3 linked regions of the Lytechinus pictus genome follow. The protein of the gene in region 1 purifies or fractionates together with the protein of each later gene. This does not show direct contact. Links are inferred from orthologs where the notes say so. Each region holds a gene or a part of one and is shown in the gene's direction. Other genes may lie near its edges. The genes, in order: RNA cytidine acetyltransferase-like, protein AATF-like and THUMP domain-containing protein 1-like.

Region 1 (8,153 bases):
ATATATATATATATATATATATATATATATATATAGGGGTGTATGGGTGAGTTTTTTCGTTTTGTATGATCGAGCGCCTTTGGAACGTTGATTCATGATTTTGCCCCCCCCCCTATCTGAAAAATGGATCGACGCCCATGTGTATACATCATGCTCAATAAACAGATCACTATGGTCCAGACAACTTTTGTCATTTTTTCTTTCGTATGAGTTTAGAATAGGCTTACTTGTAACACAAATTGAATTTTCAAAAAAAAAAATTATATAAGTACACTACACTACAACAATGAAGGAATTTCCAAGAACACCATGCATATCAATCACTCCCAAATGTCTTAACTTGTGATTTTAGTGGGGGTAATGTTGAAAGATCCCCATCCACAAGAACTTTTGTGTCTATCATCCCCCCCAACCAGGAATACCGATCGACACCCATGTGTACAGCGCATTACATTTAAAATCCTCCTACTTGTTTTCCATTCTATTCACAGAACTGCACCTCAATACAACTCTTCCTTGATTACTCCATACAATCCCTCTCGCAACCTTAGGTCTTCTAGTTCATTCTTACTCGCTGTACCACAATCTCATAATTCATGGGGGGATCGATCATTTCAACATGCTTATATGGAATAAACTGCCAATAGAAATCCGCAATATTTCTTGTCTCACCACTTTCACAAGTTCTCTTAAAGCCTGGTTATTCACGCAAGCTTTTAGGTAATTGTTATTCTACCCCTCTTTTTAGTAGGTTTTCTTTCTTTCTTCCTTCCTTTCTTTTTCCTTTTCCTTTTCTTTTCTTTTCTTTTCTTTATTGCGCCATGAGCATCTTTTTATGATGGATACCGGCGCATTACAAATGTTCATATTATTATTATTATTGTTATTATAATGTAATACAAACTATATGTATAGAACTCGGTATCGTATTCCGTTTCAGATTGGCTATGCCTGTAGGGCCTACACATTGATTGATTGATTGATACGATTAAGTGAATTCCTCTTCATTTCAAACTCAAACAGATTAACTTGTACAAAGCAGAATATAAATAACAAAAATGAAAAAAAAAAACTCACTGGAATGCATCGCTTGTTTATGTGAGACCCTGCAATTAATAAACTGATACAAATAGTAATTAACAATTAAGGTTCGATAGAATACAATGGAGTCGAACTTTATATGATTGGCTATGACTGTATATAGTCAATCTTTTCGCGGGACCCCTGGTGAAAAAAAATAATTAGATTAATATAATAATTTCTCTGACAATTACAAATCAATATAAAACTGCATTAACTAGGGTAAAAATGGAAAGGGAGGAAGCGCAGCGACCGAATGTAAAAAAAATCAACTGTACTCTAAATCGCAGGGATTTATATATATATAACGTAATGTAATTAGGGACCAATCGAATTCTGGATTCAGTGTTAACCCGAATATTGAATTTATAATCATAAAGGATATAAATTCAAATCCTCGAGATTTGAATTTGAAAGTTTTAGGATTAAAAATAAATCCAAAATTTGATCAGTCAACCTGCAAATCCCTGCAATCTATAATGTATTCACACTGCTTGAGAATGTATTTATTAAGCATCACCCATTTCCATGTGTCGCGATATTAGGTAGCAACTAAGGCGCTGGCATTATAGAAGGGGCTTGTCCTCTCCAGGGCTTATACGCGAGATTCAACCCCGAACCTGTTTTTCACACCGCGTGCAGTGGTATATTTAGTTCCCAAGACCCTGTACTTTTTACCTTTTTAGTCAGTTCCTTAGACCCCCATTTCAGAGTTTCGTGAGGCACAACCCCATCAAAAAATAATTTGTGTGCCCCCCCTCCTCTGGGATTCAACTTTTCAAGAGCTAAACTTCAATATGGTATTGCAGGAATGGGGTTTTAACGCAAATGACACCCCCTACCAAAATTAAAAAGGGATTTTCATCAAGGAGAACATTTCTGGGCCCCGTCTTACAAAGAGTTACGATTGATCCGATCAATCTCATATATATGGAAATCCATCATTGTCATATTTTTGTTCTTTAGGAAATTTGCTCAATGTCCATTGAAAACAAAAAGAACCATACTGATATTTGTCAAGAAAACAGTGAATGTATGAATATACGTCATTTCTAGAAAATATTTTGAACGAACATGCATGTTAGATGTTGCTGGCTATCCATAGTTGCGATTGATCGGATCAATCGCAACTCTTTATACGATGGGACCCTGAAGTGAAACTTATAGCATTGGGCGGAGCACTCAGTTATTGCGAGCCTCAAAACAAATTTAAACATACATAAATTCATAGTCATTAATAGGATTCTCTTCAAGATGAATAGACCACTGTAAAAGAAAATTATTACACCCCGGCTTCCAGGCTTTACCAATCTGCATATAACACACGAGTCTGTAATTACTGTAGAAAATAGGGTCAAATCAATATAAAATCAATTTCAAAATAAATTTAGCCCCTTTCGGGGAGATTAAAACGATCAAGCCATTTCCCAAGAGAGAAGCAAAATACTATCATGACTTGTAAGAGATGTGGAGCGATTTTTACTAAATTAGACAAAATGGTTTAAAATAATTTTGTGAATGGATAGGAGGAGGAGGAGGAGAAGTAGGAGAAAGAGGAGGGGGTTTAATCTGAAGAAAAAATTACTTCTCATTTATTATCTACTGTTGACCTGGGCCCCGTCTTACAAAGAGTTACGATTGATCCGATCAATCGCAGCTATGGACGGCCAGCAACGTCAACATGTATTATTCATGTTTGTTCAAAATATTTTCTATGATGTATATTCATGCATTCATTGTTTTCTTGAAAATTCACTATACTTCTTTTTGTTTACAAAGGACATTGTGCAAATTTCCTATAGAAAAAATTATGACATTGATGGATTTCCATATACTTGAGGAGGTTGATCGGATCAATCGCAACTCTTTGTAAGACGGGGCACAGGATTCATATCAAACAGCTGGGTATAAACGGAAGTGTATTGCAGGGAACTCATTGGCTTACTATACTCTCACTCTGTCATGTTTGATAGAGCATGAATCATTGCATTCTGAATTTATATTTTGCGAGGGAGCGTTAATTATAAAATTTGAATGGCATGATATTTAATCTTTAATTTAGAGTACTTGAAGCAGACATTCGGTATACAAGCTATGTATACATATTCCCCCCCCCCTTGTGGTCATTTTCTTTTACGTGGGGGGGGGGGCTTAAGTCCCTCTAGCCCCTGCTCAACTGCACCTCTAAAGTGGGGGCGTCGTACGTGGTCTATAGTGGTTACGAATCTCGTCTTTCAATGAGAGGGACGTGGGTTATAGAATCTCAGCCACGGCGTGTTTTCCTTCAGCAAGAAATTTATCCACATTGAGCTGCACTCAACCCAGGTAAGGTGATTGAATATGGGTACCCGGCAGGATTAATTCATTGAATGCACCATCAAGCGCCTTTAGCAGCTATTGCGCCATTGAATAGGAAACTAGATGCCGAGAGTAGTGGCAGGGGGGGGGGGGGGACAGGTGCGTAAAAGGCCGGCGTGTTGGAGGGGCCCGAGATACACATTATAGCTTTCTTCTTCCATTAAGTGGTCTCTAATTAGTGTTTAATATTTATTAGTTTAATTAAATTGATAGTCTCCTACACCCAAGTGCTTACATTGAACCAACCACTAGCGGAATGGGAAAATATATAGCGAGGTGATACAATATGGCATATGTGGTAAAAAATATCTAAAATTCCGAGCGAACAAAGCAACTTGAGCAATACTTTAGACATTTTGAAAACTAAGTGTAATTTAGGGTATTTGTGAACATTGAAAACATGGAAAACATTGTAACATTGAAAAAAAATATACCTTCCGATATTTCTCCATCTGTATACGCCAGTGCTACAAATATCGATCAGTAAAAATTTATTGAATACTCCACGCGTACATGGTGTGTGTGTGTCTAGGGGGGGGGGGGGCATGGACCCCCCCCCCGATTTTCACAGGACTCAGGACCAAAAATAAAAGGGAGAAAATAAAAGGAAAGGGAACTGGGTTAAATGCTAATTCCTGAATATTGTGTCAAAACCTATTACTAAATCATATAGATTTTTCGCATCAAAAATGGCAAAAGTTAATTCCCTCTCTCGATCGCAGCTCGTGAGAAATCGCCACATACGACATGTCTATGGCATCCTTTTTTTTGCTCATTACATTTCTTACCCACACTCTTGCCAAATGAAGATTCTCTAAAACTTTAGCCAGTCGATGTTCGAAGGCATCTCCACCCGCGCCACGGTATATTCAGCAACTTTTAGTCAATCAGCGTTCATTATGTTGGCTGGTAAAAAGATTGTAAAACTTTCAGCCAACCAGAATCGAAAGGATTGTGCACACGGCCCCTCCCCCATTTTGGGTCGGTAAGATGTTATAAACTTTTAGCCAATCAGAATCGAGAGTCTCATGTGACTATTTTAGAATCAAGGTACACTAATTTTATTCAGATCTGAAATTATTATTATCATATTCCGATAGATGTGAATCTGAGACATGAATTTGTTATTTGTTTATAAACTGTGCTACATGAAACCAGGACATGAAATAATAATCATTGAAGGCAAAGGCAAAGTAGAAAGTTGTAGACCGGCCAAGTTTACGTTTCACGTCATCCCATCTGAATTGAATTGGAACATGTCAACAACAGAGGGCGCTTTGTCAATACACGTGCGTGAGTCTGCTCCGTCTGCAAGTTATTCATGTAAGTTCGGCATTCTTCACTGATTTCATGGTTTGAATGTAAAAATTGCAATATGTGGTTATATAATTTTGAACTGGTTTGTTGGATGGTTGTAAACTTGATATTTTTGACATTTGTTGTTAATTACAGAGTGTGAAATGAGAGCGAGGAATTGTCTTTGGTCCCATGCGCTTATATCTGCGTGCTTTTCATTAATCAAACTCGGTCTCACTGGAGCTCGAGCTTTGAATCGGGTAGACAGGAATAACCGTCGTTTCTGGGGATTTATTCAACAATTTCTGACATTTTACTGTAATCCCCATTTACCGACGGTAGGGTGTACGTGTGGGCTCGCATGTGTTCTCATTCCCTCCCTTTTGACCTCAATTCACAGTCCAAAGTTTGATGTAATTTTACACATCGAATTTACAATCTAAGGATGTATAACCAACAAACTTTTAAAACTTGATATTTCATTATCAAAATACTTTAAACGATATAGATGAAAAGGCATGAAAATTATACTTTACCGATGTTTAATTGGGTTGAACACGATAAAAATGGTCAAAATGGCAGCCAAACTATGAAATATTTACAAACGAACGGAGAGGGCGTCAACAATCACGAATGTGATATCGATATTGCTTTCGATATTATACGATCTGCTCCTTATACGATACGATACACTACACGAAGATAAACGATACTAGTTATAATCGCGATATATCGAGACATTAAAAACTTAATAACGATAATGACGTCATTCAAGATGGCAACTTGCAAGAAAAACCGTCAGGTCAGGTGAAAATGTCTTAGATGACAGATTTCTCAATCATCCAGAGGATTTTTTTCAATAACTCTGGCCCAAGGTATGCAATTACTTAAGTTATTTATATTTCCCTGATAATAGAAACCATGAAACTTTTAAATTTGCTTAAAAAACAGTTCTAAATCGCGATCTATAAAACGCTACTTCACTATACGTTGGCTGTAGGTAAGGGCCCCCATCCTCTTCAGTCTATGTATTGGTCAGTGAGCCAACGCAGTTCAGCGGAACAACCAAAATACAGAGACTGAAGCTTTTGGTCTACGAATCGGGGCGAGTTGAGAATCCGGGGTTTTACTTTTGGGTAGGGCTCTCCGGACCCCCTCTAAAAAAAGCGTCAGAGGCACTTTGTTATAATATGCATGTAAACAGAAACAAGGCCTGGTCCTGGAATTGGAAAATCATGCGCTGCGCATATGAACTTTGGCCGTGTTGGGGGTATTTGTTGAATTACCATCCTAACTGTGAAAGTTTATGGATCTAGTTCATAAAACTTGGGATATAAGAGTAATCAAGCATCACTGAACATCCCCTGTGAGTTTCAGGTCACAAAACCAAGTCAAAGGTCAGTTAATAAACTTAGGCCATGTTGGGGTAATTGTTGAAGTGCCATCATAACTTTGAAAGTTTATGGATAGAGTGAATGAAATGTGGACATGGGTGTAGTTGACAGTCTTAAGTCTCCGTTCAAATGTCATTTATGGTCAATGAACGTGGTATTATGTCATTATATGAATGATTATTTTATAGTAGTTTTCAAAGTTAGCACTGCTGCTATATTAAATTGCGTAATGCAGGCGAGACTGCCAGAGGCGTTCCACTTGTTTGTCTTCTCCATTTCTATTTTTTCTCATTTTAATTTAGCAGAATAATAAGGTTTATCAAAAAGAAATAAAAGAAAACAAAAAATACATCTTACTTTAAAAATATACGTCAAAGTGTTATTGAAGATTTTTCTTGATACTTGAAAATTAAATTTCTATATTGGAAATAATTTAAATGCTGGTCCTCTTGCTTATTTGACTATTTATTCATATTTTGCAGAGACTGCTTGACCAAGACATAGCGAGGAGTTGATTTTCAAGATGGTTCGCAAGAAGATTGATAACCGCATCAGAGTACAGATAGAGAACGGCGTGACCCAGGGTCATAGGTCATTGTTTGTGGTTGTAGGAGACAAAGGCAAAGATCAGGTTAGTTCTCCAAGGGGCTGTTGACATAGTAGATTTCCTGTCATAGACTCATGTGCTCTATTGATAATCTTGATATCTGAACTTTTATATGAAATATTTTGAAAAAAAATTTAGAATTAATTTTATAGGCCTATCGAATTTCCTACTTTGATTTGTATTTACCCTCTTCCCCTTTCCTTCTTGTCATTTGAGCCCCAAAATGCAATAATATGAAGTAAACAACAAAATAATGTTGTGAAATGGAGATTATTATAATTATCATTTTATTCTGCAAAAGAAATACAATGTAAAATTACATCTGACAATTATAGAATGCATTTCTTTGGAATGCCGGGGGACAAAAAAAAGGCTAACCTTATAATAAATGGCAGTTGCCTTCTGTCCCAAAAAGGTTTATGAAAAAATGAATTAAAATGAAATGAACTAAAAAATACAAAAGAGAAAGATCAAATTTTAATAAATAAACTTGTTCAACATTTATTCAGCCAGCCCGTAGTTCAATAATTGTACCAAGTGAGCTTGAAAGAACCTCACTTCTCTGTATTTCCTTTTTATTCCTTTTCTTGTCATATACGGTATAGGTTGTGATTCTACATCATATGTTATCCAAGGCTGTGGTGAAGGCCAGGCCATCTGTACTATGGTGTTACAAGAAAGAACTAGGATTTAGCAGGTGGGTTATTGATGATGAATATGTCATTGTACATCAGGAGGGGTTTCCACAAAGAATTAAGTGGGACTTAGAGTTATGCTTAAATACTCACCTGCACATGATATAGCATGCAATCGTATTGATTAATACACAGTAGTGCGTGTCCTCTTTCATTTGACCAATAGGGTCATGCCTTCTACATGTATCCCGCACGCAACATTTAAGTGTGACTCCAGGTCACCTTTAACTCATGTGAAACACCCCCAGAATACAAGTAATTATTTAGGAACTTTAGATAAGCAATTTTGTCTTCAAAGAGTACATAAGTACTTCATGCAGCATTTATTTCTGTTAAAGTTTGATTCGTGCCTCAAACATGAATAAAATATTTTCTAAAATGCCCTCCAATCCCATAAAGGAATACATATATGAAATACATATAAAGGGATGGACTGAGCTTTGATGATGGCAACCATCTACAGACAAAAAGAACTGGATATTAGATACAACCAATAAAAAAAGTTTGGCTTACCTTACTACAAATGTTATCTTGACATACATACCAACTGCAAACTTCAACATACAGTACCCTCTTCTGTTCTTCTATATACAACTGTAGTATGCCTCGCAATTGAGTCTTGGAACTCTTGTTTGAATACTGCCCAGGGTGGAGAAAGGACTTACATTGTTTGCGGGCATGCTGGGATCTGATGACCGGGGTAATAGTAATTACATGAAAAGT
Region 2 (8,720 bases), on another chromosome or scaffold:
TATAACCCAGAAAATAATCTGAATGCGTGTTTTAATAACTTAGTAATCAGATTATTGAATATGTGATGTGTATTGATATTATTTAATAAATAGGGGAGACCGGGGTTAGTTGGAACATTTTTGACAAAAATGGCTGTAAAATCCAAATAGATTTTATTCGAGAAACAATAAATATATCAGCTTGAAGCATATATCTCAGGGCTTCAAATGTACCCCATAAAATTTTTAACTCTATTATGGTTACTGAAAAAATCCACCTTGAACAAGACTATCGCAAACGTTCCAACTTACCCCCATATCGGGGTAAGTTGGAACATGGTATGGGGTAAGTTGGAACACTGCATGGTCAATTAAGAATTATACTAAAACTACTTAAAACTGTAATATTACATGGTTTTAGCCTATTTGCTTTATCTTATTCAAGTTCAAAATATTAAAGTGTGGATTCGTTGAACTTTATGTTTTCTATTATACAGCCACTCACGCAAGCAGACTGTGTAGTAGAATTCCGCATATTTGGGTGCGTTTGAGTTTACATGCAATTAAGTGTACTATCAGCAATTTCATGTACTTCTGCATCAAATTTATGAGACAAAAATTGATTGTTTTTATTTTTTTCATAATTAATTATGCAAATAAGCATATAAAATTTTCCAGAAATTTGTTTTTTTTTGTATGTTTTTGCCTTAAACTATATTTATTAAGCTAGTAGAATTTTTGGTGAGAGTATCAATTTTCACATTTATAACAAATATCCACCAAAAAATGCAAAAAATATAATTTCTTATGTATTTTTTTTTTTTCGAACTTTGTTTTCTCCGATGGACTTTGTCAGGAGTCTTTTGCGATCATAAATAGCATAAAATTAATCTATGTGAACCAGCAAAAGTAAAAAATAATCATACATTTATGACTTTTGGTTGAAAAACGCAATTTGCATTGACCTTGTACATGGAATCACCTTTTTGAACAATTTTGGGTCCGAACATGCACATACAATTTGTTGCGTAATTTTTGTTGCGTAATTTTGAAACACAGGCATCACAAATTTGGTCTCAAATGATGCACAAGACTTGAAAGTAAAAAGTCAGCTAGCAGTGTAATAAAAAAAATTCGTGCGACGGCGTAGTGACAAAATTTCTTGAGGGGGGCTCAAATTGACCCCCCCCCCTTTTGATAAGGGTTAACATTGCATTAGGTGCCTACAATAGGCCTTAAATGCACACTCAGACCTAACTGATAAACAAAACAAGCATGGTATACAATACATGTTCAGAAGAGTGTGAAATACTTTGTTTTTTTTTCTCATATCCAATATTTTCATTCATAATTATGTTTGGGGTAAGTTGGAACATGTTCCAACTAGCCCCTTCAATTTTGTTCCAACTAACCCCGGAGGCTCATTTGACGTTTATAAGCTTACAGCACAAAAAAGGGACTTCACCATGGCATATTAATAACCTCATTTTGTAGCTTGGTATAAGTGTCTATTATACCCCTAAACTGGCCAACTTGATCTGTAAACTTCTCTGAGATAATCAAACATTTCTGAACGAGAAAAAATTTACTCAGAAGGTCAAAAAACAAAAATTTGTTTCTAACTTCACCAGGCTTGTTGCACATGTGTTGTCTGTAATATGGTGGATGGCCGTTGATAATGACAATAACTTGAGGGCAGTATTGCAGAAATTTATTTAAAGACGTTAAAGAAAATTACAATGTTTCAACTTACCCCATGTTCCAACTAACCCCGGTCTCCCCTACTGCTAGAAATTGTATTGAATCAACCGAGATAAAGTAGTCATGCATTGTCTTAAAATGCATACTTGCCTATAGTTTCTATTTCGTACATTGTAAAAACTCCGGTGTTGATTTAACACCAGCACGGAATATATATGTCCACACCAGAGAAGTATTGAAACAACACCAGTTTGGAATCAAACTGATGCTGTTTTAATACTAATTGGTGTTGTATAAACACCTACATGTATCTGGTGTTAGACCAAAACCAAACTGGTGTTGTTTAACACTTGTCTCGTGTGGACTTATACAGATTCCGGGCTGGTGTTAAATCAACACCAGAGTTTTTGCAGTGTAGGGACAATCCCTAGAGAGGAAGAAAAGAAGTGACACTTTTCACCCCCTCACTGCCTTGTGTTTTTTTGTTTTTGTTGAAAAAGTGTCTGTAGTATTGTGTATGATATTAAGCAGTACTTTTATCTATATTTTTTTACCCTTTCTTTATCATTTACCGTATTTGCATATATGGACCGACAGGCTTTGCAAGTGAAAAAAAATGCAATGAAAGTTCTCTTACGTGTATTAAACTAGAAAAGATTTGAAATATAATGTTCTATAACTCATCGATTTTTATTTCTTTCTCTACCTCGTGCATAAGGTTTTATCATGACTGGCTTTCACATTTTAATATGTATATTGTACTTATACCTTTCTACATGCACATGAACATTCCAGCTGCCACGGTGGCATAGTCTGCATGGCACAGACACTTGGTTTTTGCAATTCGCATAGTGCATATTAAATAGCGTCTGAAATAGTAAGACTAGATTCACTATGTATTGTGGCTGGCACAGACAGAGAGCTTGACATATAGTCTTCAATCTAGACATGGTATGATTGGTCATAAAATTTCTAATATGAGTCTGCTTGCAGACTAGCTGTGGTCTGGCGGTTCTGACTCTCGCGTTTGAAACAGAGGTTCATGGGTTCAGATCCCAGCCATGGTTTACATGTAATTTCCTTAAGCAAGAAATGACTCCACATTGTGCTGCACTCAACCCAGGTGAGGTGCATGGCAGGGTTGGGCTCAATTTCTTCAATTACAATTACGATAACAATTACGTAATTGAAGAAATGTTCAAATACAATTACTTTTCAATTAAATTACTTTTTTTTCATTTACAATTGCCAATTGCTTTTGTCAATTACAATTACATTTAGTTATTTTCTATAAAAGTCATAAATGAAATTAATTTGTATTCTGTACGTAGCACCACCTATTTCAATATAATTCTAAGTTACAGAGAAACTATGTGTTAAAGAGCACCGATTCTGCCTCTTTCTCTCTTTGATGCTGAAGCAGTTGACATGTAAAATGTCATGAATTTAAATCATAAATTAAGTAAGTTTATTGTAAAGTAATAAAATGTAATTGACAGTAATTGAAGTCAATTGCATTTTTTTTTCAATTACAATTACTTTTCCTTTCAAAATTTCAAATACAATTACAATTACTAATAAAACGTAATTACTTACATAATTGATCAATTACCTTGTAATTGTGCCCAACCCTGGTGAATGGGTACCTGGTCACGATAAATTCCATCAATGCACTAGGCACCGTTAATATTAACAGCTGGAGCTGAAGCTCGGGTAATATATAGTCCGCCAGTGAATGGGCAAATATAGAGAATCACTGCCTCATAAATATTGTGTATTAACTGAAAAGAAGATCGAAATTAAGCAACTTAAATAACTGGTTACAACACCTACAATCAGGGAAGATGCATGATGCAATTTAATACTTTTTCATGGAAAATTTTAGAATAATAAACAAATCAGAAAATTTTTTCAATTTTTTTATCAGACAAATATTTCATTCAATTTATCTGCTTGCTTATTCATTTTGCCATTTATATGATTTTCATGTATTTGATCACTTCTATATCTTAGCATTTATGGATTCCTTTCATTGTTTGTGTGTGTGGAGGGACAATGCAGATATGTATTTTGAGATGACTATTTGATATTTGTTTAAGAAATGTTATTAATATTTAGTGATTAAGACAAAGGATTGACCGTCCTGTGTTTGTGTGATTTGCAATCATTTAGTAATCCTTAGTCAATTTTGCAATTGGCTGAATTTGTTAATAATAAAAACAGAATTAAAAAAGTCAATCCTTTGGATTTGTACATCAGATATATTCAGACTAAAACTCATATATGTTTTTATTTGAAAGCCTTACTTTTGTTTCTCTATAAATTATTTTATACCCTTTGTTTATACTTTCAAGTAAATATTATGTATATTTCGTTCAGATGACGGTCTAGTTGGATGACAATGTGAAAATGAGGAATAAATATTTGATGTGATTTCTACTTTGTTATGACTCTTTTGTTCTTGTTGTTGTTGCCCAACATGGTGCATTTGGGGGAGGTTTATTTCCAATTGGTCCAATGCCAGTTCGTCCAATATTGCCAACTCGTCTACTCTCATTTGGTCTACCATCAGTTCGTCCACTATCCACATGATTGTTAATTCTTCTACTAGGCTCACCATTTTGTCTAATAACCAGTTGGTCCAATAACTGTTTAGTCCATATACCATTTGGTCTAATTGGACCAAGTGTTAATTGTGCAAAATGAATGAAAATAAAACGGATATTGGACCAACTGATTATGAGATGAAATGGTCATCTATAGACGAAATAGTGATTAGATGAAGTGATGATTGGAACAAATGGTCATTGGACCAAATGGTTGTTAGACGAAATGGCATTAGACTAAATGAAAGTAGACCATGTGTTGAGTGGACGAGTTGGCAGTAGACGAATTGGCAATTCACCATCGGGGAACTTTGGCGGGAGGTGTGGTTTAAATTAAAATGGAAATCCATGGACTCTAGCAAAACATTTATTTGAATAAAAAGAGAAAAATCAGCCAAGCATGACATTAATAAGTTCAATCGAAATCAAATGTAAAATGAGAATTTAATGACATTTTGAAATTTCATTTATTTTTCATAAACCACGATGCAACTATACAGTGATATGCAAATGAGACAATGATGTGGGGGGTGTGGTCTAGTGGTTATGACTTTCGTCTCAATCAGAGGAATGTGGGTTCTATTCCCAGCCATGGCGTGTTTTCCTTCAGCAAGAAATATACCCACATAGTGCGAACCCAGGGGGTGTTTCACAAAGATTTAAGCCGGGATGACGTAAGTCGCACTTAAATGCCAATATGTGTACACGATTTACAACGCGCGAACTTATTGATCAATGTACACAGTATAGTGCGCGTCCTCATGACACGATCTGACCAATGAGGTCAAGCCTTTTATACTGTACGCACCTAGACAGGTAAATGCCGGGTACCATGCAGCGGTTGAGGATATTCACACCACAGTTAAAATTAAACGTCCATCAAGAAAATATTGTTCGAATCTTGCCCCCTTCCCCCCCCAAAAAAAAAAAATTGTTTAAATGTTGGCTTCGAGTGGACACCCATTCCGAATTGTTTCAATCCTCAACCGTGTTCTATAATTATATACAAAACAAACTATATTTAAGTATTATTGAATATGAGAAATAATTCCATTTCTAACTTGCTCTTGGAAGATACGGTGCTAAGTTGCACAGTACACGTACGTGTGCTACATTCAGCATTTAAATGCATGTTCGTGTGGGAAAGCAAATTTCACAAGCTACGAAAAATGAAACACAAACAAGTAACGCTTTCAGAGCAAATTCTTGCTTTGAATAATCCTACACCTGTAGATGATCCTATTGATTACTGGGATGAAAGTGAGTATGATATTTACTGAATAAATATTGTTCTATATAGATAATACGATACTGCCATTAAAGAGCAGTGTGTCATTTCAGTCCCACACATGTCATTTTGTGTAACCGAGATTATCGGGGAGCCACGCCGCCGCGAGTAGCAGCCGAAGGCGAAGCCAAGCAAACGAAGACACTGGCCAGGAGCTCTCAGGCGCAGGCGCCACTTGTTCACTGCAACCATCCTGCCTGTGGGGAATCTATCATTAAAATATCAGTTTTTTGACCAAAATTATTAATTTCCATACAGTTACCCTTCCTGGTGGAGTACTTCAGGGATTGACAGTAGAGGCGCTGGTCCAAAAATTGGGATTGTCCCAGAAAACAAGGATATCCTCATAAACCAAGACAAATCATGTCTTGATAAATTGAGACTGTCCTTGTTTATGGGGACGTTTTTTTTTCACTTCCCCCTACGGGACAAAGACAGCAATTACGGGAATTGAGAGTGCTAAAAATAGATTCAGTGACCTCAATTCCCCCCAGTTCACCGTCTATTTTTCATGACTTACTGTCTTCCAATAATCTTGTTATGAAACCCGATATGTTTACATTGACTAGCACACTTGATTGGTGTCGGCACTTGACAGGTGAATGAACTTTCCTAGATTTCTTGTGTGAAGAAATCCTTATAAACTGAGACAGTCCCTGTAAACTGGGACGATCCCAATTTTCTGACCAGCGCCTCTACTGATTGAAACTAGGCCTACAAGGTAATTTATTTTTCATTAATCATGACATCAGTAACTTGGGAATAATTTTTGTATTCACCGGAGCGTTCAAAAACTTGAATTTTGGGGATATTTTTGTGTACGCCCTCTATTGGTGGAAAGTAATATGGCAAGAAAATTTTCATTTTTCAATCTCTATTTTAATTCAGAAAAAAATAATTTAAAGAATCAAATTTACGTAAGAGCGCAGAGCCAAGTTGTATGATGAATAGGTGTAATGGAAACTCTGTAAAAAAAATCAAGCATTTGTCCCAAAGAAAAAGAGAAAATAAGCCAAATATTGCCACCCTCAATATTTTGCCACACATGGAGATATAACAGAGAACAAGGTTATATCATAACCTTGTCCATTGAATGAGTGTCGGGCGCCTGGCTAGAATCGCGAATTTGATTAAGAGACTTGCTTTGACTTTTGCGATCAATTACTGGCATGACTGGTGGATTAGTTCTAACACTAAAAACAGATCTATCTCGAAGTTGGCCAGTGAGTACGAAGCCAAAACTGCGCTGAGGCTGAGCTGTGTGTGTGTGATTTGGAATTCTTGAATCTTAATGATAATGTTTTTTTTTTGTTATTTGAAATTGTTACTTAATCTTGTTGTGGTAGGCACGGCCATAGCGCACTAATCAGTGGTGCTCTCGCGGATATGCACAAAATTTGTGTAGGCGCGTCGGTTTGCTTATCAGTCAGAGGCGCACGGCCAATATGGGAGACTCTCCAATAAGGGAGACAATCTCCCATATTGGAGACTTGCTTTGTAAAAGAACAAAAGAAACAGCACCAACAAAAACATGATTTTTTTTCCACCCAAAATTTTGTCTCACTGAGGTCAGAAGCCCATTTGTTTTGTGTGTGATTGACAACAGAAATCCTTATCAAAACAAAGTAGACAGTGAATTTTTAAAGTAGACGGTGAAAAGGGGTAATTTTTCATGAGGAATCTGCTTATCAAATTTTTATTTGCCGCCAAGGTAATCCTTTTCCAGCAAATGTAAACAAAGGAAATTGATCTCCAAAACTGGAGACTGTCTCTGAAGTTGGATACCCAAATTCTTTACAAAAGTCTCTGATATTGGAGATAATCTCCCACATTGGAGACAGTCTCCAATATTGGCCATGCGCCTCTACTGGCCAATATGGGAGACAATCTCTCATATTGCAGAGATGCCAACCCTCCCGATTTCATCGGGAGGCTCCCGAAAATTCATCCCAACTCCCGCCCTTACGATTACCATCCTTATCCTCCCGAAATTACGATTTTTTTTTGCATTGATCAAATTGGATTGGAAGTACATGTATCGTCTGCTAACTTTAGCATGTAGTAACTCCATTACGTTTCGCTGCTACTAAATTCTGTGTGAAAGGCAGACAAATAAGGAGCAGCGAAAAGCTGGTGCATGTGATATGCCCAACGGGAATCCACTGTGCACCAGGCCGGTAGGCCCGGCTAGCTTCGCGAGGCGTGTGCGCTCGCGGCCGCTGGATTTGTCGAGTGGTGCGATGGAATATCGGTGTGTGATTTCGGCGTATTGATGGGTTGATATTGACACGAAATGGCGGAAAATCAACAAAAAAAGACCAAGAAATGGTCTCAGAAGTATAAGACTGAATACAGTCTCCAGTACCCGTGTATTCGGAAGTCGGAAAGAGGAATCTACCATGCATTTTGCACAATTTGCAGCGTGGACATTAAAGTTGAGCACGGAGGTCGTGATGATGTTCGGAAGCACGTAGGGAACAAACGGCATACGGACATTGCGAAGACGAGATCTTCGAGCTCCACTAGTATACCCTGTTGACTTATTTCACCAAGCAAGGGACCAGCGAGGAGGAAGACGTTACCCGCGCTTTAATAATAATAAAGAGGATAATTCCTCATTATTATAGTTGAAAAGGTAGGCTACTTTTCTTCTATTGTCCCCTCATTTTTTTTACATGTAAAAATGCATATTTGATATTTTTATTTTTATGTCAAAAAAGTGGGAACAATGTTTTTTTAAAAACATGTGAAATGCTCCAAAATAAGGGTCAGATTGCACCAGAGAGCATCTAGAAACCCAGAGCTTCCAGGGCCCTAAGGCGGGCCCTCGACCCCGGCCGCAAGGGTCGAGCGCTCCGCGCTCGAGATGTGCGCTACGCGCACATAATTTGGTGTCGGTTGCAAATCCTCCCTAATTCTGATTTCCAAAAGTTGGCATCTCTGATATTGGAGACTTGCTTTGTAAAAGAACAAAAGAAACAACACCAACCAAAGCGTTATTTTTTCCACCCAAAATTTTGTCTCGCTGAGGTCAGAAGCCCATTTGTTTTGTGTGTGGATAACAACAAATATCCTTATCGAAACAAAAGTAGACGGTGAATTTTTAAAATAGACGGTGAAAAGGAGTAATTTTTCATGAGGAATCT
Region 3 (8,271 bases), on another chromosome or scaffold:
AAGAATGAAGATCCATACCTGGACTAACAATCTTGTTCTTATTTCTTTATTATATTTAAAGACGTGTGTGGGTAAAAAGCACTCATCTTTAATTTTTACACCCTTTTTTACTTTTTTGGCTGAAATTTGTATTTTTCCCTCTAAAAAAGTACTTTTTGTTTCAAATTAAAAAACAATGTGGTTGGGTAAAGGGTTATGTAATGGGTCATTAATACATGACACCACCACTAATATCTGACTCATTCATTATTAGCCTGGGGCGGTGGCTCAACTTGCCCCTATATGCTCAACTTACCCCGCCTTCCCCTACGGATATCGGTATGGTACGTATACCCATTTAAAATGTTGGGCAACGTACTGTCCTCTGTGTTGGGTATGGGTAGGCCTAATCCCCATTTATTTTTTTTGCTTGTCAAAAATTTTTGGTGGCCCCCCCCCCCTAAACCTAAATTTTCTGGCTTCCGCCGCCAATGGGCCTAACGTATGTTGGTTAAAAAGAATATATTAATCCTGGACAATTTTTATTCAATTGAGCAAATTTATTATACCTAATCATTGGTTTGTATTACCCAATTTGGGCAGATTTTAACCAATAGTTATGTGGACAGTATTGCCCATGCAGGGATGGTTGTATCATACAGCTATAGCTCTATGGTTATATTAGTTGGGCATTTTTTGCCCAACGTACACTTTTCTTGAAGTTATTTATAGGCCTATACTAGTATACTTACTTGAGTCTTGGATGAATAATCAATTCCGACAACAGCAACAATAAATCATTACATTATAATAAGCAAAGAGAAAAGAACAAAAATCGCAGAAAATATCCTATGACAGAACATGAGGCCACTCTATGAAACTTGCCAAACCCAAGTTGATCGTTGTGGCGTGTGCCTGAAATCCATGCAAGCTATGTGGGGAAGTTAAAAATTGATGCAGAGGTTCGAGTCCTGGTCACGTCTTTCGGATGGTGACGTTAAAGGTCGGTCCCATGCAGTCGTAAATCTGATTGACAGATCTCCTTTTTCCTTTTGCTCTCTCTTTCCTTCTTCCATTATTTTATTTCTTTTTTCATTCCCGCTCTTCCCTTCATTCGTTCCTACCTCTCTTTCATTCTTTATTTTCTTCTTTCCTTCGATCGATCGTCCCTCATTTTTTCTTACTTATTTAATTTTTCCCCTTTTTCTTTCACTCCTTCATTCATTCTTTCACACATTAACTAATTTCTTTCCTTTTCTTAATTTCCTTTATTCAAAGAACGAAGGAAACTTTTTTCTTTCCTTATTTATTCTTTCTTTCGATCGATCTAGTATTCTTTAATTTTCCTTCTTTCTTCTCCATTCTCTTTTCCCTTTTCTCTCTCCTTCATTCTTTCTTCACCCATTTGTTCACCCTCTCTTTCTTTCCCTTTTTTGCTTTATCTTTGCATGGCATTTCCTTATTTCTTTCTTTAATTTCTTTCTTTCTTTCTTTTATTTCTTTCTATCTATCTTTCTTCCTTCCTTTCTTTCTTTCTAAATTCTTTCTTTTTTAATTCTTTCTTTCGTTCTTTAGTTACTTTCAGTGATTCCCTTTTTTATTTTGTGCCATGGACATATACAAAAGTGGCATGAAAATATATATGATAGGGGAAATTAATCAAATGGCATATTGAGACTAATTTTAGTCATGGCAGGCAAGATTAAATCACTTTGGAAAAAAATATTACAAATACAAGGTACACATTCCAGTTCATGTTTAAACGAGAGGAAAAAAGCAATATGGTATAAGCCTGCACTTTTAATTTTTTTTGAGCGGTGAAATGTTTCGAAAGAGTTTTCCCAGGCAAGTGAAATATATTTTCATTTTTTATCAAGGTACGCCACTGTTTAGGAGTCACGGTGATCATTGACACAAAGCTGCAAAAATTAATCCCAAGTTACTAATGAAAAATAATTGCCACTATAGGGAAATTAGTATTTTTGGTCACAAAAGTGTTATTTTAATGATTTTTTAAAGTGTGTGTTGTGCACTGCATCGGCATACCATATTCTTACCTGGTTGCAGTGATTTGAGCAAGTGCACTAGTATGGCGTGGGTCATTTTCAACAAAGACGCTCAAACATTGACAAATTTAGGGTTGCTTTGGCTGAGCATTCTTGGGATGAGGTAATGCGTGAAGAGTCATGTGACAAACTTATGATGTATATATTCATCAATGAATTTAATACCATACACAATTCGTGTTTTCCTTTGAAAGAAAAACGTTGTCGAAAAAGAGAATATAAACCTTGGATTACAACAGGAATACTCAAATCATGTAAGAAGAAACTAGAGCTTTATAAAAAAATATTTGAAAAACCCTTCCGAGTATAGGAAAAAGGTATACAGATATTATCGAAATACATTAACTTCAATTATTAGAAAGACAAAGGAATATTTTTATACTAAGCAATTTGAAGAAAGCAGTTGCAGTAAAAGAACATGGAATATTATCAATAGTATTTTGAATAGAGGTGCAAAAAAAGGAAATCAGGATTGTTTTAGTGATGGCAACAATAAAGTTATAGATCCTGTTGAGATTGCAAACAAATTCAATGAATACTTCATAAGCATTGGGACAACATTTACAGATATAGGTAATACTGACTTGCGGAAGTGTAGGTCCTTAATGAATGGTCAGTACCAACAGTCAATGTTTCTAAAACCAATCCAGGGCCATGAAATTATAGACATAGTAAATAAAGGCATTGAAAATAGGTAAAAGCCCTGGTCATGACAATATAACAGTTTCTATCATCAAAGAATCTCTATATGGCTCCACTGGTACATATTTTTAACCTCTCACTGTCCACAAGTACATTTCCTTCTCGTATGAAACTGGCAAGGGTGACTCCGATCTATAAGAAAGGCTCTTCCGACCAATTTTGTAATTATAGACCGGTGTCTCTCTTGCCTGTCTTTTCTAAGATTTTGGAAAAACTGTTCTATTCAAGATTGTTGGATTATATTGAGAAAAGAGGAATTTTAACAAATTTCCAATATGGCTTTAGATCTGGACACTCAACTTTATTAGCCTTAACACATTTTTTTGATCAAATGTGTACTTCTCTTGATGAGAGCAAACATTCCATATGTTTATCATTAGATATATCCAAAGCATTTGACTCAATTAATCATCAAGTCTTGTTATCAAAACTGGAATACTATGGTGTGAGGGGTTTGTCATTACAGTGGATTAAGAATTATCTAAAAAACAGAAAACAGTATGTTGTTTATAACAATTCAACTTCATCTAAAAAACAGCTGACTTGTGGAGTACCCCAAGGGTCAATATTGGGGCCTTTGTTTTTCATTGTATATATAAATGACCTACCAAATGCATCCTCTGCTTTGTCATACATTGTTTTCGCTGACGACACTAATGTGTTTGAAAGTGCAAAAGACCTAGGTACCTTAATACAAAACATGAATAAAGAAATACAAAATGTAAATGATTGGTATAAAGTGAATGGGTTAAGGATAAACATTGACAAAACAAATTTCATGCATTTTGTCCCATGTAATAAACAATATGATAAGAGCTTACTTTCACTTAAGTTTGCGGACTCATCAGAACCCTTAAAGCAAGTGAGTAGTACCCGTTTTTTGGGAGTTAGTATTGATGACAAATTATCATGGTCTTTACATGTTAACGATATCGCACTGAAGATATCAAGAATAATTGGCGTTATGTCATAGCTGAAATCTGTACTACTATCAAATGTATTACTCTTGTTATACAATACCTTGGTTCTACCTCACTTACAATATGGGAATATGCTTTGGTTGAATGAATCAAATACATTGTTAAATCGATTATATCTGTTGCAAAAGCGTGCATTACGTATAATTGGTAAAACTCATTATCTGGCTCACACAAAAAACCTTTTAAAACAATTTAGAGTACTAACTATATATACGAATTGTGTAAGTTACAACTTGGAAAATTCATGTACAGGTCTGAAAAGGGATTACTACCAAAATCACTCCAAAATTGGTTTAAATGCAATAGTGATGTCCATTAATTGTCATAATACTCGTAACTCAAAGAAATGACATAGCATATATTTCAGGACCACTACAGCAGGACAGAGAAGCAATGGAGAAGTGTGAAGTATCAGGGCTATCTAGTATGGTCTGCTTTAACATCAAACAAAGTCCGTCATTAAATTACGGCAGTTTAAGATGAAATACAAAAGTTATCTGTGCAATTCTAAATAATCATTAATCAAAATCAGTGTGTAACTCGTTTTAATTCCCTTTTTTGTCCCCCCCCCTTATTTCCATTAGGTTGATTTTAAAGTGTTCACTGGAGGAGAGAGCTACTCCAGGAGCTTAGTTGGTCACGGTTAGAGTGCCTAATGCCTCTGACCGTACGTGCTCCCGGGGTGGGCCTCTCCTTCCTTCTCGTATTCTCCATTTCTGCCGGGGCTAGACTCGATAAGCTCTGCTTTTTCTAGCCCCGGTCACATTATTTACCATCGTATTTTAATTTTGTTGTATGTTTTTCTGTCTTTTATAATTGTGTGTATTGGTTTTTAATGTGAAATAAATGAAATGAAAAAAATGAAAATGAAAGAACTGTCTTTTCGTTTTCGTTTGTCATTTGAGGTCACAGTACCGGTACTGGTAGTCAATTTACTCACTCAGCTTACTTCAGTTCATTCATTCATTCATACGGCAAACACAGTCACTGGTCACTGCAGTGCAGTTCGTCAATAAAGGTAAGTAGTTGCAGCAAACAATTATTTCATGAGGAAGTTAATTGTCACCATATCTACCTAGGCCTATCTACATCTTGTACTGTAGTCTGGTTGCATTGCCGACCATGTTGACTTTGTGAATTAACGTTGTTACTTTAGTTTTACTTAGCTCAAACAAAAGACACTAACACAAAAAAGGATACGTGGGACAGTAGACTATATTTGCCAACACATCTCAACCTACGGGTACATTACCGCCGCCGTGCACAGGATAACCACTGGCACGGCACTTGCAACACCTTTAGCTTATTATTTTTAAATTAGCAATACATTACAGATTTCAAATTAGATAAACTTTGGAGTTTGGATATGAAACTTACCAAACGATATGATGAAGCCAATTTCAATTCCTCTCTGTCTTTCTGGTACTTTAGTCTTGACTTTATATCGATGATTTTTCTTGATGTCGAAGCAGGCATGGCCATGGGGCCGATTCGCTGGTTCTCTCTATACGCACTGAGAGGGCGCGCGATATTATTTAATAAACTTGCTTGTTTGCATCGGGGAAATAATAAGATGGCAAATATAGCGATCTTCAACGCTTATATATAAGCGTCGAAATTTGTAGCCATCTCCTTGTATTAGTCTATAATATACGACGTGTCAAATTGTAGCGAACTAGTTCGCCATTTCCAGATCTCCTCTATATATATATATACGAGGGGGAATTGTAGCGAACTAGTTCGCTATTTTCCAGATCTCCTCTATATACAAACGACGGGAAATTGTAGCGAACTAGTTCGCTATTTTTCGGATCTCCTCGATATATACACGAGGGGAATTGTAGCGAACTAGTTCGCTATTTTCCAGATCTCCTCTATATACAAACGACGGGAAATTGTAGCGAACTAGTTCGCTATTTTTCGGATCTCCTCGATATATACACAAGGGGAATTGTAGCGAACTAGTTCGCTATTTTCCAGATCTCCTCTATATACATACTACGGGATTTGTAGCGAACTAGTTCGCTATTTTTCGGATCTCCTCGATATGTACACGAGGGGGAATTGTAGCGAACTAGTTCGCTATTTTTTTATTTTTCCAGATCTCCTCTATATATATACGACGGGATTTGTAGCGAACTATATACGAGGGGGCATTGTAGCGAACTAGTTCGCTATTTTTTTGATCTCCTCTATATATACACCAGGGGGGAATTGTAGCAAACTAGTTCGCTATTTTTCGGATCTCCTCTACATGTATACGACAGGAAATTGTTGCAAACTAGTTCGCCATTTCTCATCTCCTCTCTAAAATATAAACATGGCAAACTGTAGCGAACTAGTTGGCAATTTTTCTGATCTCTTCATATACACGAGGGGGAAATTGTAGCGAACTAGTTGTCATTTTTTCCAAAGCTTACATTATTGTGAAGGCTTCAAAGTGAAAATCTGCAGGTTTTGGCTGTATATATTGATGCCATATTGTCAAATTGTAACAGACTAGTTCGCTATTTTCCAGATCTCCTCTATATATATATACGAGGGGGAATTGTAGCGAACCAGTTCGCTATTTTCCAGATCTCCTCTATATCCATACGACGGGATTTGTAGCTAACTAGTTCGCTACTTTTCGGATCTCCTCTATAAAATTATATACACGAGGGGGAATTGTAGCGAACTAGTTCGCTACAATTCCGTCTCTTGTATATATAAAGATTAGAAAAATAGCGAACTAGTTCACTAATTCCTCCTCGTGTATAAAATTTTATAGAGGAGATCCGAAAAATAGCAAACTAGTTCGCTACAATTTTCCGTCGTATATATAAAGAGGAGATCCAAAAAATAGCGAACTAGTTCGCTACAAAAGAAGAGATCCGAAAAATAGCGAACTAGTTCGCTATAATTTCCCGTCGTATATATATAAAGAGGAGATCTGGAAAATAGCGAACTAGTTCGCTATGATTTCCCGTCGTATATATAGGGAGAGGAAATCCGAAAAATAGCGAACAAATCCCGTAGTATGTATCTAGAGGAGATCTGGAAAATAGCGAACTAGTTCGCTACAATTCCCCCTCGTGTATATATCGAGGAGATCCGAAAAATAGCGAACTAGTTCGCTACAATTTTCTGTCGTATATAGAGGAGATCCGAAAAATAGCGAACTAGTTCGCTACAAAAGAAGAGATCCGAAAAATAGCGAACTAGTTCGCTACAATTTCCCGTCGTATATATATATAGAGGAGATCTGGAAAATAGCGAACTAGTTCGCTACAATTTCCCGTCGTATATATATATAGAGGAAATCCGAAAAATAGCGAACTAGTTCGCTACAAATCCCGTAGTATGTATCTAGAGGAGATCTGGAAAATAGCGAACTAGTTCGCTACAATTCCCCCTCGTGTATCGAGGAGATCCGAAAAATAGCGAACTAGTTCGCTACAATTTCCCGTCGTTTGTATATAGAGGAGATCTGGAAAATAGCGAACTAGTTCGCTACAATTTCCCGTCGTATATATATATAGAGGAAATCCGAAAAATAGCGAACTAGTTCGCTACAAATCCCGTAGTATGTATCTAGAGGAGATCTGGAAAATAGCGAACTAGTTCGCTACAATTCCCCCTCGTGTATCGAGGAGATCCGAAAAATAGCGAACTAGTTCGCTACAATTTCCCGTCGTTTGTATATAGAGGAGATCTAGAAAATAGCGAACTAGTTCGCTACAATTCCCCCTCGTATATATATATATAGAGGAGATCTGGAAAATAGCGAACTAGTTCGCTACAATTCCCCCTCGTATATATATATATAGAGGAGATCTGGAAATAGCGAACTAGTTCGCTACAATTTGACACGTCGTATATTATAGACTAATACAAGGAGATGGCTACAAATTTCGACGCTTATATATAAGCGTTGAAGATCGCTATATTTGCCATCTATAAAATACCGTTTGCATCGTTGACGTCAGATCAGCTGTACTGCCATGACTGCTGGTTGCGTTCTAGGCGCTCAGCATTTTTTCGCTGTTCACCGTTATTTTATGATGTAGCGCCATCAGCGATTATACGTGACATGCAACCTGTTGATTTTTGGTACAATTTCCTATTATGCGCCGGCGACTTGAATCTAGACTGTTCGATAGGAAAAATTCGCATTTCGATTGTTGTTTGCGTAATTTCCACCGCAGTATGGAAAGCAAGTCACGTTGTTCCAGTTTACAAGAAGGGAAACAAGTCTGAAGCCACTAATTATCGACCAATAAGTTTGACTTCAGTACCCTGTAAGATCATGGAGTCGCTGATCAGAGACAAGATCGTTGATCATCTGATGGAGAATGAACTAATCAGCGATTCCCAACATGGATTTGTCCCAGGTAGATCAACTGTTACACAGCTGCTCCAGACACTAGAGGACTGGACATCCTTACTGGATAAAGGTGAAAAGGTTGATGTTGTCTACCTAGATTTTAGAAAGGCCTTTGACAGTGTACCCCATCAACGTCTTGTGGCAAAACTAGATGCATACAACATTCAAGGGAGCTTCA

What was found.
Region 2: the proteins of RNA cytidine acetyltransferase-like (region 1) and protein AATF-like purify together in Homo sapiens (affinity purification with mass spectrometry; 3 studies listed by BioGRID and IntAct, with this or other methods). This does not show direct contact. The link is inferred for Lytechinus pictus from reciprocal best matches to the Homo sapiens genes NAT10 and AATF.
Region 3: the proteins of RNA cytidine acetyltransferase-like (region 1) and THUMP domain-containing protein 1-like purify together in Homo sapiens (co-immunoprecipitation; 3 studies listed by BioGRID and IntAct, counting the BioPlex papers as one, with this or other methods). This does not show direct contact. The link is inferred for Lytechinus pictus from reciprocal best matches to the Homo sapiens genes NAT10 and THUMPD1.

What each region holds. Positions count from the first base shown.
Region 1 is NC_087253.1:12,147,290-12,155,442, reverse strand, and holds the start of RNA cytidine acetyltransferase-like, read left to right. Parts: upstream 1-4,696; 5' UTR 4,697-4,761; intron 4,762-6,610; 5' UTR 6,611-6,651; coding exon 6,652-6,759; intron 6,760-7,340; coding exon 7,341-7,432; intron 7,433-8,153. UniProt on the Homo sapiens protein: RNA cytidine acetyltransferase that catalyzes the formation of N(4)-acetylcytidine (ac4C) modification on mRNAs, 18S rRNA and tRNAs.
Region 2 is NC_087250.1:8,038,797-8,047,516, reverse strand, and holds the start of protein AATF-like, read left to right. Parts: upstream 1-5,397; 5' UTR 5,398-5,416; coding exon 5,417-5,546; intron 5,547-8,720. UniProt on the Homo sapiens protein: Part of the small subunit (SSU) processome, first precursor of the small eukaryotic ribosomal subunit.
Region 3 is NC_087254.1:17,882,136-17,890,406, forward strand, and holds the start of THUMP domain-containing protein 1-like, read left to right. Parts: upstream 1-4,676; 5' UTR 4,677-4,745; intron 4,746-8,271. UniProt on the Homo sapiens protein: Functions as a tRNA-binding adapter to mediate NAT10-dependent tRNA acetylation modifying cytidine to N4-acetylcytidine (ac4C).